Cricetulus griseus: one gene and its partners. The protein of the gene in region 4 binds, or shares a complex with, the protein of the main gene of each other region. Links are inferred from orthologs where the notes say so. Each region holds a gene or a part of one and is shown on either strand. Other genes may lie near its edges.

Region 1 (5,056 bases), on a different chromosome or scaffold from region 4:
AGAATAAGGCTCAGCTCTCACATACACACCCCACCCCCTGCCCAGCACACCTGACTCTCCTGTGTTTAAGTTCTGCCTGCTCCAGCTAAAGGTCTTGCTTAGTTCTGAAAAAGCAGCTTCGAACTCATTCTACAATCAGAGTCAGCAGGGAGAATCTAAGGCAAGATCAGTGCATATAACACCTCCCCAATACCACACACATGAGCACACGCACGTGTGTGCATGCGCACGCGCACACACACACACACACACACACACACACACACACACATATACAAACACATACATACATATGCATGCATACAGACCCTTGCACATACACATACACCCATACATACACACACACACACACACACACACACACACACACACACACACACACACATATCTAAGCGAAGGGGCTCTGCTCCTTATTTCACTCTCCACTCCAAGGACACAGGAATGCTGGCTCTACTCTTTTCTACACTTTTCTCCCTCCCTTCTTAGGCTCCTCTCACAGAAGGGAGAGTTTCACTCTAGAACATAAGACCCAGATTCACACCCCCATCTGCATCCTGACCTCAGACAAATGGCCAAACCTCCCAACACTCACTCCTCAGTGATGGCCACTGAATGGGTCAATCATAGAGGAAGGTCCCCTGCCCATGCTCCCAATATTGAAATGTTCACCTGTGTAAGCATAAATAAAACATAGATGAGGAGAGAATGAATTACAGAAACGGCCTCTCCTCGGCAATCTGTCACCCATCCTCCCCTCCCCCACACACCAACTCTGAGGTCTGTGTCTCTCACTCTGGATCATTCTGAATTATTTACTATGCTAAAACCACATGAATCGCACCAATCAAAAAAAAAGGTAGTCTGAATCCAACCAAAGCCCGAGTGGGAAAGTGCTTTTTCAGTCCTGTTGCTAAATACTGAGAATTTAACATCCAGCTAGCAAACAGGAAAGAATCTAAATTCGCCATCACAAAATGTACTTGTGAATTTAAAGTAAGTAGTGCTACTGGGAACCTAGAAAGTCATTGCTCTAAAGCCTCCCACTTCACTGACAATAACATAGAATAAAGCACAAACCCAAGGCCCAGACACGACTGATCAGAACCAAAGCTGGCCATGCCACTTCTGGCCCAAGCTCTTTTTTTTTTTTTCTTTTTTTCCTTTTTTTTTTTTCTCGGATCATCCATTCCTCCTTCACAAACAGGCTAGTTAAATCCTAAACCGCCAGTGGCCACCCTCTGCTTCCACACCCAGAGAAGGGCCCAGCGAGAGTGGAACTGGAGTGACCAGGACAATACCAGTGCCATACAGACAAAGCTCTCTTCCCTGGACCCTATCGGTCCACACTCTGCTGTGGGCACCCCACTCTATTTTGGAGAAGAAAAAGAAGAGCCGAGCGAGTCTTTGTTCTGCCAGGAAGAAGCAATTTTCTTTTCTCCTTTGCCATAATTCCAACTCTATCCCAATATTCCCAATCTCTTCAAAAAGTTTACAGAGAAACTCTATCACTATAGCAAATAAAAGCTGGTAAGAGAAAGACAGGGCCAACAAAGTGGGGGGGGGGCTGTACAGAAGAGGGTGGTGGCCCTTCACCCCACAGGGTCAAAAGCACTTCATTTCAGCTACTAATTGCCTGCAGAGAAGTCACCAGACAGTTATCACAGGTCCTCAAACTGAAAAATATACCATCTTTGACCCCCTAAGAACTACCCCTTCCCTAACCTCCAAATGTGCCCAGAGCAGGAGTGGCCCAACAGACAGACCACCCTTTCCCCTCAGGCTCTAGAAGGAGACCTCAGGGCAGGGCTGGCATGGAGTTATTTAAGGCAGTAGCATGAGGGTGGGGCAGAAAACTGTTGGCAGTATCTTCCTCCTCCACCCCTCCCCCTCACAGCCAACACACACACACCTCACTCTGTAGACATCTCACTCACCAAAGGCTGAAGCTAGAGAATCTCCAAATGTGTCTTCTGTCATTGAGACTGCTGTCCCCTTTTGCTGTCCAGCCCACTTTTAATCCATCCTTCAGTCACCAACAAGCTATCTTTCCAACCAAAAACACACACTCAAATCTAAACAGGCATTCAAAAATCAAAGAAACATGTGGCCAGACAAGCCATCTCTGGCCTTCGCCTAGGAAGAAAAAGGGCACACCAGTGTGGAGGGCTGAAGGGTGGGAAGATGCAGTTGGAGGCCTAACATGCCAGGCAGGTTCTATGATGTCTCTAGATGAACCTCCTACCTACTGACAGTGAAATCAATTTGAGCAATTTCAGTAGGTTGGCCCTGTGACAACAGGGGCATCCCAGAGCTCAGCGATTCAAACAAAAATCCAAAGGCTCATCCAGAACATGCTGGGAAAACCCTCGGACCGGATGAAATGAGCCCGCTCAGAGGGATCCCTTCTGCTTTTATGTGGCAATGCATAATAAATTCTGTCTGCCCGGAAAAAAAAAAAGCATGCACTGATGAATTTCAAAGCCCTAGTACGACAACCAGGATACAGAATTCGACAGCACATCGCCCTTCAAAGGAACATAATGACTTTAAGCCTCTTCAGCCTTCTATCTTGAATGTCATTGCCGCTTATCAGGGAAACCACGCTGGAAAGCAGGGAAAGACTGCCCGGGACATAGGAGAAAGGAGTAGCTTTCCGTCCCTTTGGCGATGGGCTGCCTAGCGAGAGAGATGCTGTCATCTACTGAAGGATGAAGGGGCCTGGGCAGTGAGCGAAGGTACCCCCGGACACACACCCACCACCACAAGCGGGTGCGGGCGGGGTACGGGCCAGCAGCATGTAGTCCCTGCGCCCATCCAGCCACCCTCTGCTTTGGGGATGGAAGGGGAGGGAGGGTGCTGATGAATGAACACACCTGAGATGCCTCCATCCCGGCCGCTGGCTCCCCCCTTCCACCTCTGGCCGCTGCAGAGGAGACCCTCGGTAGTTTCACTTTCCAGGCAAAACCCACCCGGGCTCTCCCTTCTCCAGCCACCCACACTGCAGCCAGCCTGAGGCGGGAGGACATTCCCTCCTATCAGAGGCCATGATCGCAATTACCTCCACCTACCCAAAGCGAAAAGGCATAAAGAAACCTGGAATCCCTCAAGCTCCCTGCGTCCTAGCAACTTTCCTTGAAGGGACTGAGTGGGGAGACACACGGAGCAGCCGGGAGGCACGGATCGGCAGAGGTCCCCCGCGGCCACCCGGGGATGCTCTGGGGGAGAAGGCCCCCCCAGGTCCCTCCAACCGCTGGCCCTTTAAAAGCACCACCTCCGCGCAAGGAACAAAGGCGCCGCTCCGGGGGCCCGCTGCGCCCGCCCGGGAGCCCCCTCCGGAGAGCGCGGCCGCCACCCGCTTACCTCGCGGGTCCCCGGCGAGGGCTGCGCGCGTCCAGCCCGGCTCGCGCTCCACGCTGCAGTCAACCCCGCTCTGTTTTTCTGCTACTCGGAGCTGACTTCACCGACACTCCGCGGCCGGCCAATGGGCGGCGGCGGCCAGCCCCTCATTAGCATGCCCTGGAACCGTCCACTCCGGCAGCGCCCAGGGGGCGGGGCCTGGCCGGCCGTGACAGGAAGGGGCGTGTGCGCCAATGAGGAGGCGAGGAAGAGCCCGCCGCCAAGCCGCCAGGCGTCCCTGTGAGCGGGGCGATCACGCGCGCGCGCGCGCGCCCCTGCGCCCGCTAACCCTTTCTGCCCTGGCCTGGGCGCTAATGCCTCTAGACTCCAGTCCTCTGGTCTCTCTAAGGGTTTGCCCACAGGGAGCTTGAAAGGAACCGTAAGCATAAACCAGCAGCAGCCAGTGTGTCCTGGCTATCTATAAATTTATTTAACCCCGTACCCTTTTGACGATCTGTAAAACATCAAATCTTGCTCACGACCCTGCCACTCTGGTTATAGTCTTACCACACAGGTGCCTGAGGATGCTTCCTATTTTTTCCATTTGATCTTCACAGCCTTGCGAGAGAGACCCTATTACTAGTCCCCCCCCCCTTTCTTTTTTGAGACAGACGCTCATGTTTTCTCAGGTGGTCTCAAACTCACTGTGCAGCCAAGGATGACCCTGAACTTCTCATCTTCCTACCTCCACCTCCTAAATGCTGAGATTACAGGTATGCCCCGACATACACACCCCAGGCCGTCTTCCTGACTCAGCCTCTAGAGTGGTGGGATTATAGGGTGCACCACTGATAGATTGATGCTGATATTTTTCATTCATACAACCTATATTCAAGGTTCAATGGACATGAATGCATTGAGCCTGGGGTTACTAAAAAGGACCCTCCCTTTAAGAAGCTAGCATTTGAGGGAGGAACAAGTAAACCAGATTATTAGTAAATGAGCTGGAGAGAGTAATAACCAAGGACAGGCAGGGTATGCAATTTTGTCCCTTATGCTTACTGTCTTACAACCTTCTCCAGTTCCCTACAGGATAGCAGAAAGGGCAACAGGGAGGAGAGTTTGTGCAGGTTCAATGAGCCAGCAAAAGCTAGTCTGGAACTTGCTTCTTCCACGACCAGCTTCCCACATCCCAAGGACATCCCTCAAGGTAGGTGTCCTAGTTAGGGTTTCTATTGCTAGACAAAAACACCATGACCAAAGCAACTTGGGAGGGAATGGGTTTATTTGGGTTACATTTCCAAATCATAGTCCATCATTGAAGTAACTCAGGACAGGAACTCAAGCACGGCAGAAACCTGGAGGCAGGAGCTGTTGCAGAGGCCATGGAGGGGTGCTTGCTCCTCATGGCTTGCTCAGCCTGCTTTCTTATAGAAACTAGGACCACCAGCCCAGGGTTGGTGCCACCCACAATGAGCTGGGCCCTGTCTCATCAATCACTAAGAAAATGCCCTACAGGCTTGCCTGCAGCCCCATATTAAGGAGGTATTTTCTTAATTGATGTTCCCTCCTCACAGATGACTTTAGCTTGTGTCAAGTTGACAAAACTATCCAACAGCAGGATAGTCACCCTTCAGGCTGAGCACAACTAATTCTTTTCAGCTGCCTTTGGCAAGAATCTTGAGCCCAAGCATGTTCCCAGTTAGCAGGCTGTGTGGTG
Region 2 (3,775 bases), on a different chromosome or scaffold from region 4:
CTCATCCTTCCTTATTACTGCTAATTTTTAAGACTTATTTTTTTTTTTTTTTTTTGAGACAGGGTTTCTCTATGTAGCCCTGGCTGTCCTGGACCCTGCTCTGTAGACCAGGCTGGCCTCAAACTCAAGAGATTCACCAGTCTCTACCTCCAAAGTGCTGGGATCAAAGGTGTGTGTTACCACTGCCCAGCTTAAAACCTTTTAGTAAGACATAAACCACAACTAAACAACACAACAAGAAATGGTCTGCCCTGTCTTTGCCTTTTGGACGTGTGACATTGGAGAGTTAAAAACTGCAAATGTCTTTCTTTCAAGGTTACAAAGAAGTAGTTGGTCAGGGTTGACATGACTGTCAGGAGCATCTAACAGGCCACCAGCCTGTGGACTGAGAACAAGATTTGGATGGAGCTCGGCTAGTCCCTGTTCCTGTGCCTTTGTGAACTTTAATCACAGGGAACACAAACTCAAAGGTAGGTTTCTGGGCATCCTAGCCAGTGTTCTTGCAAAGTGCCTTTCCTGTTTGAGGCTGCGGCCCATAGGCTTCTCTGGGGCTCAGGTGGCTTGCTTTCCTCATGACTGGACAGAGGGATAGGAACCTGGGCCCCAGTCAAGCTCTGCCCTGGCATCCATTAAATACAGCTGGCAGCTCAGAGAAGGCAAAGAGCACACTTGGCTCCAAGGCAACTTAGAAGTATTAGGAAGAAAAACTACAAACAGTAAAATTTCTAAAGGCAGGAAAATTCAGACAGGCGAAGAGTAGGTGCAGGGCTGGGGATAGTACGGACGATGGGGTGAAATGTCAAGAGCAGCAGTTAGTTCTGACCCATGGGTCTTAACCCTTTAGGGGTCAAATGATCTTTTCACAGGGGTCACTAAAGACCATCAGAAAACACAGATATTTCCATTATGATTCATAACAGTAGCAAAATTATAGTTATGGGGTAACAATAAAAATAGTTTTATGGTTGGGGGTCAGCATGACACGAGGAACTATATTAAAGCGTCACAGCATTAGGAAGGTGGAGAACCACATTAGGTTTAGGTTTTTGCTTCATGTGTATTAGAGAAAAAGCAATAGGCTGACAGGGTCAAGGGAAGGTACACAATTCAAAGTTTGGAGTCTAAATGGAGAACAGCAAAGAATGCACCTTAGAGACAAAGACTTCATCTGGGACCTGGTCTAGCACCGGTGGCCATTCTAACAACACAGAGGTAGGTAGTGTTGAGAGATCAGAAGCACAAAAAGAACATGTTAAATAAAAGGTTTTGCTTTTATTTAAAATAAAATGCATTTATACAGTCTTTAAGTCATGGATTATTGGACAATACTGGTAAGTCTACCCCTTCTGGCGCCCTCTGGGCTTGTGAGCTAGGAGTTTTCTAACTAGCACCAATGCAGACTGTAACAGCGCAACAGACCAGAGCACAGCCAGTCCAGGGGCAGAGCTAAGGGCATCACGGCAAGTCATGACCATCATGAAGGCATTCTTAATTTAGCAGATACTGAAACTGCATATTAATTATACACTTTAAAAGCATTTAATTAATGCAACGATGCTACATTTAAGCCATTTCCTAGTTGTGAATAGTTTTTAAAAAACTGTACAATTTTATAAAATTTGTGTTTGTACATTAGTTACACAAAATGCATACTTCATAGAACTTTACTTCATATTGTAACACAAAGGTTGCATATTTTAGGCAGATAGTGAATATGCTGGTGAATACTAAGAGTGTTGTAATACAGTATGGTGTAAAAATAAACACAAAACAATGTACAACATGCTTATTCAAGGACAAACCCAGTCAAGCACAACAACAGATCAACAGCACTTCCTTCAAGGTCAATGACATCATCGAATACCAAGCATCTACTGCAGACCCGATTTTATATTAGGAGAGGGGACTGATTGGCTACCAGAAGTAGGGTATTTTAAGAGAGGGCATCAAATGAAACATACATTAAACACATGCATTATACATGATAAATAGACTTCATATAGGTTACACCCTGGATAACTTGGTAGTAGATGGCTTGTTTCTTAGTTTGGCTAGTGTCAATCAGCGACAGCTGGCTCCTGATTCACCCATTACTTCAGATTTCAATTCATGGCCTGAGGAATGTTCGGTATTCCACAGTCCACATACTGCATCACGGTAGCAGATTAATAACCGTGCTTGTTAGTGCACATATTAACCGGTCTGATAAGGCAAAGAGTTTTCATGATAAAATGATAAATTTCAAGCTTACTTTATTAAGCAGCATATAGGAAACAATAGCTTTAAAGTTAAATATTGTTATGGCTGTGGAGTTTCATTACACAGTTTTCCTATTCACACCCAACCACTGGTGAGTTTGTAAAACATCTCCTCATCTAAACTCTCATTCTGGTCTTTTGCACGAGTCGAGAGAAATATGTAACCACCAATGAACTCATGGACCACCTTACAGTCTACTTCAGTACAGATGAAGGACAACCGGACCTCGTCTGCAAACTCCACAGTGACCTGGAACAGAGACAAAGAATCATCAGTGTCCCCAGGAGCTTCTGTAAGTTCATTTTGTAGGTGTCCACTGAATTGCTGCCACTCCCCAGATAATTATCCAAGAACAGCAATAATGTCTGTGTAACTAACAGTAAGAAAACTGAAAACTGTATCATCCCTTCCCCCATTCCTTTAGTTTGCAAGTTCTCAAGGGGTTTAAGCCATTAAGTTCCCAAGTGGTCTATGGTAATGCAATTATTGAGAATGTCTTTCTTCAGGTCCTGGGAGAAAATCTACTTCCTGTGTTTTATTTAACATTTGCTCCAGTATTTAACCTTTAGGTATCATGTTTAAATATTTCAGAAAGATGAGTTTTTCTGTTAGCAACTGATACAACATATCCAATCTGCCAAGCCAAACACCTCTACCAGGTAAGACTGTTTCATATGATGTCCATGTGAAAAAGAAAAAGGGCACCATAGTGGCTACATAGTGGTACATGCACCAGGATTCAGAGACCAAAAACAAACTGTTTGAACACTGAGCCAATCACTAAGTGTGGGCATGGATAATAACCATGTTAGGCTTTGAGATGAGGATAAATGCAAACATTTAGTGTCATGCCTGGCCCAAAGAGGCATGGGACACAAACTCTGCTGCTATAAGGGATTTAGTTATTATGGAGAGATAGCATCATGGTCTACACTTGAATCCTAAGGATTGGGCTTTTTTTTTTTTACTATTCATATTTTAAGACAGTCTTCCATAGCCCATGCTGGCCTCTAAGTTGCTATGCAGTGGAAGTGACCTGGCACTCTGTTCCCTCCAAGATGCTCCACCAACCAGGGCTTCAGGAATGCTAGGCAAGTGCTATCCCTAGGGCTTTTTTTTTTTTTTTTTTTTTCTGTTTTGTCTGCATACATGTCTATGAGGCCAGATGAGGGTGTCAGATCCCCTGGAACTGGTTGTGGGTGCTGGGAATTGAACCTAGGTCCTTTGGAAGAACAGCAAGTGCTCTTAGCTGCTGAGCCATCTCTCCACTCCAATTTATTTGTAAACAAACAGAGACTACCCTGTGCAGAGCCTCATTTGGATGAGGCTGGAGTCTTGGAAGCTTGGCTTCCTACCTAATGGTGGCCTTTGAAAGCTTGTTTGAAGGTTGTAGAGCATGGGAGCACAGCTGCTCGTATACCCTTGGCAGAAAGAAGGCTGGCTGTATTCTCCCACTAACAAGTATGAGAGGTGAAGGGGGGCACCAGAACTCACTAGCCACACAAGCCGAATGCGC
Region 3 (5,215 bases), on a different chromosome or scaffold from region 4:
CCCACTTCCGAGGTCCTCAGCTCAGAAAATGACCACAATCCACCCTGGACTTTTGGACAAAAGAGGAAAAATAGCTAAGTGTTTGGCTGGAAGGCTGGGGAGCCCCATACCCTCCCCCTGGTCATTCCCTAGCAGGCATCCATGCATAAGCTCCCACGGCCCAAAGTCAAGACTAAGAGCAGTCAGGAGGGCCGGTTGCCAAGGCAACAGGTCTGCAGAAATACTGGCAGCTCTCAACGCTCAATTATTCAAGACCTCGTTACACAGTCTTCACATTTGCCCCTCCATCCCTTCTCCACTTCCCAGAGGACCACATGGAAGCCACTCAGCCCTTCCAAGGCTGATCTTTTCCTCCACTCCTGCCTCAGAGACCAATTAGGGTTTGTGACTTTCTGGTTATAGGGGTGAGAGGTACTTATTCCAACGCTGGGAACCGAGGCAGAGGGCCCAGCTAACTCACCAGGATGGCTACACCAGCAGAAGCAAGCAGACAGAGGGAGGTGCTGCTGGGGTTCTGGGTATATTTAAACTGGGCCAGACTGGGCCCCTGTCTTCTGGATACACATGCTCCCATACAAGCAAAGCAGAGAAGGACTTAGGATTGGAAACCGAGGCCAGCTCATTACTTTGCTGTGCATCCCTCATGTTCCAGTAGTCTAAGTACCACCTAGAAAAGCTGTGAAAGGCAGGGAAGGCAGCTCTGTTGGTAAAGTGTTTGCTTGCATGAGGACCAGAGTTTCATCCCCAGCACTGATAATTTTTAAAAAGTCAAAAGCCAGGTAAGTGTTGCTCACCTATAATCTCTAATCGGGGGAGGTGAAGACAGAGGACCTTGGCGATTGTTGGTCCAAGTCAAAGAGCCCCTGGGTCAGTAAAAGACTTGTCTCAAAAAACAAGATGGAACCCAGTGGAGTGGCACATGCCTTTATTTAATAGCAGCACACAGAAGGCAAAACCAGGTTGGTCTCGGGGCTAGAGAGATGGCTCAGAGGTTAAGAGCACCGACTGCTCTTCCAGAGGTCCTGAGTTCAATTCCCAACAACGACATGGTGGCTTACAACCATCCCTTATGAGATCTGGTGCCCTCATCTGGTGTGCAGATATACATGGAAGCAGAATGTTGTATACATAATAAATAAATAAATCTTTAAAAAAAAAACAAAAAACCAGGTTGGTCTCTTAAGTTCCAAGCCAGTCTGGCTATACAAGTTCCAGGCCAGCCAGGATAGATAGATAGATAGATAGATAGATAGATAGATAGATAGATAGATAGCAGATAATGAGGAACGTTGAGGAAGAGACCCAGCATGACTTCTAGCCTGTACATGCATGTGTACACACATGGAACACACAGAAACTGTAACCATTCACACTCTTACACGTGTTTTTCTATGAAAGATTTCTTTTTGTTGTTTTTTTGTTTGTTTGTTTGTTTTTGTTTTTGTTTTTTTTGGTTTTTCGAGATAGGGTTTCTCTGTGTAGCTCTGGAGCCTGTCCTGGCACTCGGAGACCAGGCTGGCCTCGAACTCACAGAGATCCGCCTGTCTCGGCCTCCCGAATGCTGGGATTAAAGGCATGTACCACCAACGGCCGGCTATGAAAGATTTTCTTTCTTGGGTTTCATCCTCAACATCACCACCCCCATTCCCCAGCCCTCTGACAATTACAGCTTAGGATCATGGGACTTCCCATCGGCTTCCACATTATGGCATCCACTCCCAGGACCCTGAGGATTCACATAGATGATAAGCCACAATCCGGTAGCAACACACCCACAGTTCCCAATACAGGGGAGGCTGAGGCAGGAGGATCACTTAAATCCAGGACTTTGAGTCCAGAGGTGGTGGCATAGCATAACCCCAATTCAAAAACAAAAACAAAACCCAATGATGGAATGAATGCAGGTCCACCCTTGTCATAGCATGTAAGAGGAAGAGAACCGACTTGTAGGCAGGATCACAATGACTACACTACACTGATGGCGATGAATTCAATGCAAGCCAACCTGGAGGGTCTGCAACAGAAGATTTGAGAGGGGGCGGGGAGACCAGTTCCCTGCCCGCAGGGAACTGGACTATCTAGTTTGGTAAAGGGCATTATGGGGTTGAAGGTCTGGGAAGGCAAGTCTGGGCAGGGTGTGGGGGGGGCCACAGGATCTTCATGGGTTCTATCAAAGTTTAGGTAGTATCACACTTCAGACAAGCTCTGCATTTCCCTACATGCCCTGCCTTTCAAGATGCCTTGAAAGGCCAGAGTGAGTCTGCCCATAATTTAGGGCTTGAAGTTCCTTTAACACTAAATATATCACTGCTGTCCTTCGGGAGCACTGGGTGATTATCAGTCAACTTCCTGGGACTAGTTTGTCCCTTAAGGTCCAGGAAGACTTTCTAGGAGTAAGCTTGCCCCAGTGGCTGGAGGAGACCCTCTGCGCAGCCTATCAGATAATCCCTAGCCAACTAATCCCCAGGAAGCCGGGCTCTGGGGCTTCTCTCTACCTGCCCTTTCTCCCTAGCAAGCCCCTCCCATTCCTTGTGAGCGCCAGGAACCTCAGCCCAAGGGCAGGAGCCTCCAGGCCAAAACAATAGAAAAGTCAGGAATGTCTCTGCAAGAGAAGGACTAGGAACTGCAGTATGACTGAGGCACTGGCCCAGGAGCAGAAGTTACATCCCTTGAAATTCTGTTTTATTAAAGTTTAAAAAGTAAAGGGGTGTCGTTTTAAAATTACTTTCCTGTGCAACGTGCACGATTGGGGGCCTGGGGTGGGGGTGGGGGGGCTCGTGGCCCTGGTTCCAGGCTTCCTTTCACTTGTGCCTTTTCACTGACTCCCCAGCTTAGGGACCAAGCCACGCGTGCCGACATCAAACAGTCAGCAGCCGGCCCTCCCCACCACGCATGTGTCCAATCACTGTGACGAGAGTGTCATACGACAAGGGTAGGCACGAGAACCATACCCTGCTCAGCCTGTGTCCAGAGCAGGACGCACGTCCTGGGCACCGGGCCAGCACTGCAAAGGTCGCAGGGACAAGGACCGGCCTGATCCAAAGGTGGCGGGCAGTGCAGCCTGGGCGCGGAGGGAGGGCTCATTGGAGCCGCCGAAGAGGACAGGGAGCAGACAGCCAGGGGACATCGCTGGCACCCGGCTGGCGCCAAGAGGACACGGGGGAGCACTCACCTTCCCTGGTCCTCTTCTTCCTCGCCAGCGTGCCACCCAACTTGCCCAGGAAAGACTCGTCCTTCTTCATCTTGGGGGCCCTCGGGGTGGGCGATCGCGGTGGCGCGGAGGACATATGCGAGTGCGCGCCACCCACCGCCGGCCGGGGAGTGGCCAGGAGGGCGCGGCCGCGGCTTCCCCGCCCCTGCCTACTGACCTCGAGGTCTGGTGTTGCGGCTGAGCTCCCCACCCGCAACGCAGTGGGACCCTGCGTGTGGTGCCAGGCACCACCGCCCCCTTTTGTGCGGCCTCAGCGTGCTGGAAGCCCAGAATCAATTAGTCCCATAAATATGTAAAGTCAGCTGTTGAGTCTCTGCCAGGATCCCTAACATCCCTTATTAGGTCGATGCTTGGGGTATAGTGGGTGCCTTTGTGGGACAGTGGCCTCACACACCCTTCCTTCAAGGCAAGCTCAGCCAAAGGCTTCCCAGCAGGAAGAATCAGGAGGGCACCTGGAGGAAGAACGCAGGCCTAGGGATGGATGCTGGCCTAACATGGCTAGGTTTGAGTTGTGCAAAATTGATTGTTGCTGACCTGGGAATAGAAGATGATTAACAGGGATGAGGCCAGGCAGGAAGCCTTACTAGGAGGGAAGTGAAAGGGTTTCTAGAGAGGTTGGGGGTAGAAGCAGCATCAGAGGCAGGCATACGCAGAGGGAGAGCCAAATGGCCTGTGGCTGTAGGAGGCGGGTGGGTGCATGGCTCAGCAGAGATAGGAACTATCAGGACCTAGCCTGGGATAAAACTGCACCTAATTATAAGGGTGGGGTGGGGTGGGGTGGGGTGGGGTGGGGATGGTTCCCTCTCCCTTTGTGCAGGTTCACAGCCTCATTCCCTCTGGCAAGCGATTTCAGTTCAGGGCAGGAAATATTTACAATTCACATTGGCAGAAAGGGTAACCAAGCTGCCCCCTCTTGGAATTTGTCATGGGGAATGGGATGCCCACTACCTATGGAGTTACAAGCCAAGGGTGGAACAGGGGCAGTGGTGACTCCAGTAGGAAGAAAAGGAACAGAGGGCCAGGATTTAGGATAAAACAGGGAACAAGACTGTTAGGGAGGCATGGTTTCCAGAGACAAGGAAAAGAATCACCTCCTTTCACTAGGAGATAAAGAAAACTCAGGCAGGGACAGGCATCTCTTGCCTACGCCAGGTCCTGGCAGCTCCTTTCTCTACAGAGCCACCCTCCTGGCACCAAAGGCCATGTGGCTTTCCCTGGCCTACTGCTCAGTGCTGAAGCTGCTTCTCTCTTAAGCACTGGGGAGACTCTGAGACCCCAGGATCAAGGAAATCTCAGAACTGCAAACTCCCATGTGATTGCCTACTCTGGGCAGCACCATCCCAGGAGCTGGACTCTAAACTGAATAAAAAGGTCTGCTGGATGTTCTTGGTTATCAACTTGACCACATCTGAGATTAGCTAAAACCTACCTGACTGGGCACACCTGTGAGGGATTTTTCCTTAATTACATCACTTGAGGTGGGAAGAACCACCCTAAATCCAGATCTTCTGGCAGCCTATATAAGGGACATGGAAGAAGGAAGTTTTTTTGTTTTTTTTTTTTTTTCTCTTTTCCTGCCTCCCCTTGCTCTTGCTGGCGAATCTATTCCTTCACTGGCATTAGAAGCTCACTTCTTCAGGATTCTGGCATATACTGAAAAACCAGATGAGACATTGAGCCTCATGCACTGAACAAGTACTAGATTCTTATACTTTCCACTAGTAGAAAGCCATTATTAGACTAGCTGGACCACAGCCTATAAGCCACTCTAACACACACACACACACACACACACACACACACACAATCAGTTTTGTTCCTCTAGAGCAATAGTGGCCTCTTGACCCCTTTAGGGGGTCAAATGACCCTTTTGCAGGGGTCAACTAAAACCATCAGAAAACGTGGATATTTACATTTTGATTCATAACAGTAGCAAAATTATGGAGTAGCAATGAAAATAAGTTTATGGTTCGGGTCACCACAACATGAGGAGCTGTATTAAAG
Region 4 (5,007 bases):
AGGACTGCTCTTGCCAGCCCCATCAGGGCTGTATTTGTGGCCTGCTCTGTGGAGCTGGCCCTGCAGGCTCAGTCTGTGATGGAGGAAGAGGAGTTCCGCCTACTTTGGGCTGGGCCCAGAGGAAATGGACAGCAGGTGTGGCCCTAGAGACTCTTTGGGATTGGCTTTGGACATTAGTTCCTTTTATGCCCTTACCTAGACTCATAGAGACTCCCTGTAGTTCCGGTTTGTTGGAGGCAGGAAGTCAGAGCTCCTCCGGGGGACCTGGACGGGGAGGGGCTGCAGGAGCAGAATTTCTTCAGCAGCAAGAGACTGGGACCCAGGGTCCCGGCCTTCGAACAACTTCTCGTCCAGCCATACAGCAGGAGCCAGGGGTAGGTGCACCCACCCTAGTGACAGGTAGTCAGGGCTGCTAGGAGAGGGCATGACCTCAAAGGCCCTTGCTTCCCTTTTCTCTGCATGGGAATGGAGCTACAGACAGGGCCGCCAGCAAGGATCAGAGCTCGAGCCCCTGGTGTGTAGGAAGTTGAGTTCCTTAGATTTGGTATCTTGTCTCTTTGAAATCACAGCAGTCCCTCCTGCAGGCTTGGTGTCTGGGACTTAAGGAGTCTGAGGAGTCTTGTGATCCTGCCCTTTCCTGCTTTATCACTCAGGGCAGGTACTGCTAGCCTCCAAGCCTACTTTCCTCAGCTCCAAAGACAACAGTTTGGCCTTTTAGGTCACCAGAAGGGGCACTTGTTTGTGACCACGCGTGTAGATGCCTTTAGTGGTTCCTAGTAGATGGTGATCAGTGCAGTGCAGCCACTGCCCCTCGATTGCCACTCACGAGGGCCCAGGAAGCAGGTCACTAGATGCTGAGAGTGAGCAGGTCAGTGAGCAGTGCAGGAAGGAGGGAGGGTGTGGTGAGCGGGGCTGGACTGTACCCAGGCCGTGGCACTGTGGAAGGTCCCAAGATGGGAGGCTATGGCAGGAAGGTCAGTACCTCCAACTCCTGTCCCTCTAGCTGTCCCTTCCTGTCGAGAACCTGAGCCTCTTGTCGGCTACTGCATGCCAGGGTAATGGCAGCTTGTGTTGGAGATCTGACCCACCCCCCATTAAAAGCGGAGTCATGGGGCCCTGGAGTTTCTAGGGCTGGGCTGCTTGCCAGGCTTTGGCAGAGCAGTCTTACTCCCAGCTTGTTGAGGGGGTGGCTGCTGCCGAGCTGGCTTCATGCCAGCCCCCTACCTCTCTGCATACCTTACCCACAGCCTGGGGCCTCAGGAGGAGCTTAGAGCATGGAATTCCGCTCCTACCTGGAGCACAGGTGCTCCCTAAGGCCACCCCCTGTCTTTAGACTTGGGCTGAGGCTCTTAGAAGTCCAGAGAGGACCTGGCTCTATCTACCCAGCCCCTCCCTGTGCTGTGACATGACGTAGGACTCCTCCCACCCAGCTCTCCCAGTTGCCCTCAGGAATCAGAGTTCTAAGCAGGCATTTCTTGCTTACACCAGGCAGCAGCAGCCTAGCCTTGTCAGGAGGAATGCAGAGCCAGGCATCTAACCCCTGAGGGAGGAGAGGACGGGCAGCCGATGTGGAAACTCCAGGTCTCTTCTCCCATCGAAGCAGCAGGTGTCTGCCAGACAGGATCTCTTCAAGTTCAGGAAGGCAGGACACTGCCCCTGGGAAGTGCCCAATAGGGCCAACTCTCACCAGTGGACGTCTTCTCTTTGCAGACGCCCTGCTGGCAGACTTGGAATCAACCACCTCCCACATCTCCAAACGGCCAGTGTTCTTGTCAGAGGAGCCCCCTTACTCCTACCCAACTGGAAACCATACCTATCAGGAGACTGCAGTGCCACCCCCTGTTCCACCACCCCCATCCAGCGAGGCCCTCAATGGCACGATCCTTGACCCCTTAGACCAGTGGCAGCCTAGTGGTTCCCGATACACTCACCAGCAGGTAAGGTGGGGTCTGCGGAGCCCTTGGGGGCTGAGTGGTAAAAGGAGCTGATCTGCCGAGGAGATGGAAAGCCATTGGGGATGGACTGGGATTCTGGGCTCCTAGTCATACACTGCCCTTCTCACCCACCATGTGAGGGGCCAGTGACCAAGTATTAATCACCTGACTAGCTGTGGAAATTCCCTGGTGAGACAAGCTATGAGCAGGAGCTGCCTGGGGGTGGCCTGAGTAAAGTACTCTTTCTTCTGCAGCCTCCATCCCCGTCACCTGTGTACAGCTCCAGTGCTAAGACTTCCGGTGCCTCTAACCCTCAGGACAGCGCTCTCTGTTCCCGAGCAGGCGAGGAAGAACACGTCTACAGGTACAGAACCAGCACTGTACATCAGCCCGGCTTCTGGGAAACCCTAGGGCCACTGGTGGAACTATAGAAGGCCTGAAGGCCCCTGCCAGGCCCTGTGCTTGTCAGCTGGCTCCCCTCTGCCCTGTCACTGCCTTCTCTGTAGAGACAGCATCTCTGTAGTTGAGAAACTGAAGCAAAATTTCCTTCCTCCTTGCCTTACCACATTCCTTCCCTACCCTCCGCCTTCTTGCTGAAGAGACTTGGTAACATTCCACCCCTCCGGCCTTGAGAATCTGGGGCCTGCCACATCCAGTGCAGGGCAGAAGAGTCTTACTTGTTTCCTCTCCTTCTCAAAGCTTCCCCAACAAACACAAGTCCGCAGAGCCTTCACCTACCATGATGAGCTCCTCCCTGGGCAACAACCTCTCGGAGCTTGACCGTCTGTTACTAGAACTGAACGCTGTGCAGCACAACCCTTCAGGCTTCCCTGCAGGTGTGAGCGGGTCTCTGGACTACTCATGGGCCTTTGGGTTCCTAGAGGACTCAGGGATGAGCAACCATTTTGTTTCCTTATCTCCAAGATGAAGCCAACTCAAGCCCCCCACTACCTGGAGCCTTGAGCCCCCTTTATGGTGTCCCAGAGAGTAACAGTACCCTGGGAGGAAAAACTGGGCCCCTGATGAAAGAGAAGCCAAAGCGAAATGGAGGCCGGGGCCTGGAGGATGTGCGGCCCAGCGTGGAGAGCCTCTTGGATGAACTGGAGAGTTCTGTGCCTAGCCCTGTGTGAGTATCCATTAGGGTCTCCCCAGGCTGGGGAAGCTCTTGAAGTCTCACCCCGACTGTCTTCGGGCTGTGTGGTACCTGTCCATCAGCCCTGAAGTCACCTGCTCCCTACAGTGTCTGCTACTTGCCAGGTCCTGGGGATATGGCATGACCCGGCAAAGCCAGGGTTAGCACAGGTTTGCTGATGTGGCACAGGGTTTAGATCATGGCTGTGCCAGCTACAACAGTCTTACTCTCGCTCTATAAGTTGGAATAAGCCAAAGTAGGGCATGGTGACACATGGTTATAATCCCAGCATTTGGGAGGTCGAGGTTTGGAGATCTCAGGTGCAAGACCAATCTGGGCTATATAAGTGAGTTCCAAGACAGTCTGAACTGCATGAGACCATAGCGCAAAAATACGACATAAACTATAAAATAGGTAAAGCAGACAGTAATAATGGAGATGACCCTACATAGTAAATAGAGTGAGACCAAATAGTATATAATAGTATATAATGTTGGGGGGGGTGGGGGCTGGCTCGTAGCTGTGGCAATCACAGCTATTAGGGAAGCCCCTAATAGCGTCAGGTCTTGTTTATTTTGAGGTAGGGTTTCACTCTATATCCCAGACTCTTCTGAAACTCACTATGTAGTAGCCCTCCTGCCTCAGCTTCCCAAGTGCTGGGTTACAGGGATGAGCCACCATGTGTCAGTGTTTATTGATGTGTAATAATCTCGCATGTGTATAGTGTTGAGAGGCTTTGTAGTGGTGCCCCTGTCTTCCTGTAGGGGTACTGTGAACCACCTACCTTCTCTGGTCACCTCACCTCAGCACTGTTTCTTAGCTAGTCACTCTTTCCCAGGGATGGGGATCCCTAAGGTGCTGCTGGGTTCTGGTGGCCTTCCCTGGAGTTGGAGGTGTCGTTGATCTGGAGCCCCCCCCGTGGAGCCTGGGGCTGACCCTTGGGCTCCTTACTGACTCCATGCCTGCCCCACAGCCCGGCTATCACTGTGAACCAAGGTGAGATGAGCAGCCCACAGCGAGTCACCTCCAGCCAGCAGCAGACACGCATCTCGGCCTCCTCTGCTACCAGGGAGCTGGACGAGCTCATGGCTTCACTGTCGGATTTTAAGGTGCCCTCTGATTCTCTCTGTCTTCCCTGCTCCCATCCATTACCCTTCCTCAGTATGACTAGCAGCTCCTCGGGGCCCTGGAGGAGAGAGGCTAGGTAATATTCAAGACTGAGCTCCTTAGCAGCTTGTGAAGGCAGAGAAACCAGAGATGCCTTTAGCTGGAACATTCCTCCCTCTCCTGGTGATCCCAGCCACCAGGTCAAGGGGACCAGGAGCTGGAACACAGTGACAATGAGCCCTGTGTTGATAGCTGCTCTTGGTGGGGGAGGGTATGTCCTGCTGGGCCCCGTGGGACCAGGACCTCATGCCTGAGAGGTCACTTGTCCCAGAGCTGTATCTCCCACGCTATCTGTCCTCAGAGCACCCGCTTTCTTTCTGCTGTGGGGATGGGGTTTTCCAGCATTTCCAGCCAGCTTCCTTCTACCCTCACTTTCTTCTTTAAGGGCCTGAGTTCCCAGAGTCCTGTCTGTGGGAAACTTAACCTGCCAAGCACCTGGCCAGTCGGCATGAGGCGTCCCACCTTCCCCTCCCAGGCTCTCCAGGCCTGCCTGTCCACAACGTTTTCTTTAGAAGATGTGGTGCCTCAATAGGGATTAATACTGACTGAAATTTCTCATAGTTGCTGACTTCAGCTCCATGTGGGTCAGCCAGAGACCTTTGAGGCACAGCTTGGGGAATATGAGAAGGGAGCCAGGCTGTCTGTCCATTCTTGGCCTAGAAGGTGCCTCCTGCCTCCCTTCAGCTGGACTCATACTTGGAGCTCACACGGAGGTGGGAGATTGGGTGGAATTGGGGCTGGTAATAGCAATCACCTTGTTGCTGTGGTGATAAG

What was found.
Region 1: the proteins of Pxn (region 4) and Sorbs1 are in contact, whole or in part, in a crystal structure (PDB 2O9V), measured with the Homo sapiens proteins. The link is inferred for Cricetulus griseus from reciprocal best matches to the Homo sapiens genes PXN and SORBS1. Residues at the interface, in NP_001074324.1 of Homo sapiens: Val45, Pro46, Pro47, Pro48, Val49, Pro50, Pro51, Pro52, Pro53, Ser54; in NP_001030126.2 of Homo sapiens: Phe876, Phe878, Val900, Asp901, Asn903, Trp904, Ile917, Pro919, Thr921, Tyr922.
Region 2: the proteins of Pxn (region 4) and Fermt2 are in contact, whole or in part, in an NMR structure (PDB 6U4N), measured with the Homo sapiens proteins. The link is inferred for Cricetulus griseus from reciprocal best matches to the Homo sapiens genes PXN and FERMT2. Residues at the interface, in NP_001074324.1 of Homo sapiens: Ala562, Phe563, Cys564, Leu565, Gln576, Lys579, Tyr581, Lys588, Leu589, Phe590; in NP_006823.1 of Homo sapiens: Gly42, Gly43, Met45, Leu46, Glu50, Lys55, Lys56, Trp58, Ser59, Leu73, Thr75.
Region 3: the proteins of Pxn (region 4) and Parvb are in contact, whole or in part, in a crystal structure (PDB 4EDN), measured with the Homo sapiens proteins. The link is inferred for Cricetulus griseus from reciprocal best matches to the Homo sapiens genes PXN and PARVB. Residues at the interface, in NP_001074324.1 of Homo sapiens: Asp3, Leu4, Leu7, Leu8, Asp10, Leu11, Glu12, Ser13; in NP_037459.2 of Homo sapiens: Ala241, Phe242, Thr244, Leu245, Ala249, Lys252, Val255, Val256, Ser259, Leu260, Tyr354, Phe357, Thr358, Lys361.

Annotation. Positions count from the first base shown.
Region 1 is NC_048596.1:21,069,742-21,074,797, reverse strand, and holds the start of Sorbs1 (sorbin and SH3 domain-containing protein 1), read right to left. Parts: upstream 3,490-5,056; 5' UTR 3,361-3,489; intron 1-3,360. UniProt on the Homo sapiens protein: Plays a role in tyrosine phosphorylation of CBL by linking CBL to the insulin receptor. Required for insulin-stimulated glucose transport. Involved in formation of actin stress fibers and focal adhesions.
Region 2 is NW_023276807.1:201,452,672-201,456,446, forward strand, and holds the end of Fermt2 (fermitin family homolog 2), read right to left. Parts: intron 2,509-3,775; coding exon 2,335-2,508; 3' UTR 1,258-2,334; downstream 1-1,257. UniProt on the Homo sapiens protein: Scaffolding protein that enhances integrin activation mediated by TLN1 and/or TLN2, but activates integrins only weakly by itself. Binds to membranes enriched in phosphoinositides.
Region 3 is NC_048595.1:381,091,286-381,096,500, reverse strand, and holds the start of Parvb (beta-parvin), read right to left. Parts: upstream 3,331-5,215; 5' UTR 3,288-3,330; coding exon 3,173-3,287; intron 1-3,172. UniProt on the Homo sapiens protein: Adapter protein that plays a role in integrin signaling via ILK and in activation of the GTPases CDC42 and RAC1 by guanine exchange factors, such as ARHGEF6. Is involved in the reorganization of the actin cytoskeleton and formation of lamellipodia.
Region 4 is NC_048597.1:95,638,226-95,643,232, forward strand, and holds the start of Pxn (paxillin), read left to right. Parts: upstream 1-1,551; 5' UTR 1,552-1,566; coding exon 1,567-1,606; intron 1,607-1,710; coding exon 1,711-1,937; intron 1,938-2,188; coding exon 2,189-2,298; intron 2,299-2,633; coding exon 2,634-2,770; intron 2,771-2,858; coding exon 2,859-3,060; intron 3,061-4,039; coding exon 4,040-4,175; intron 4,176-5,007. UniProt on the Homo sapiens protein: Cytoskeletal protein involved in actin-membrane attachment at sites of cell adhesion to the extracellular matrix (focal adhesion). Recruits other proteins such as TRIM15 to focal adhesion.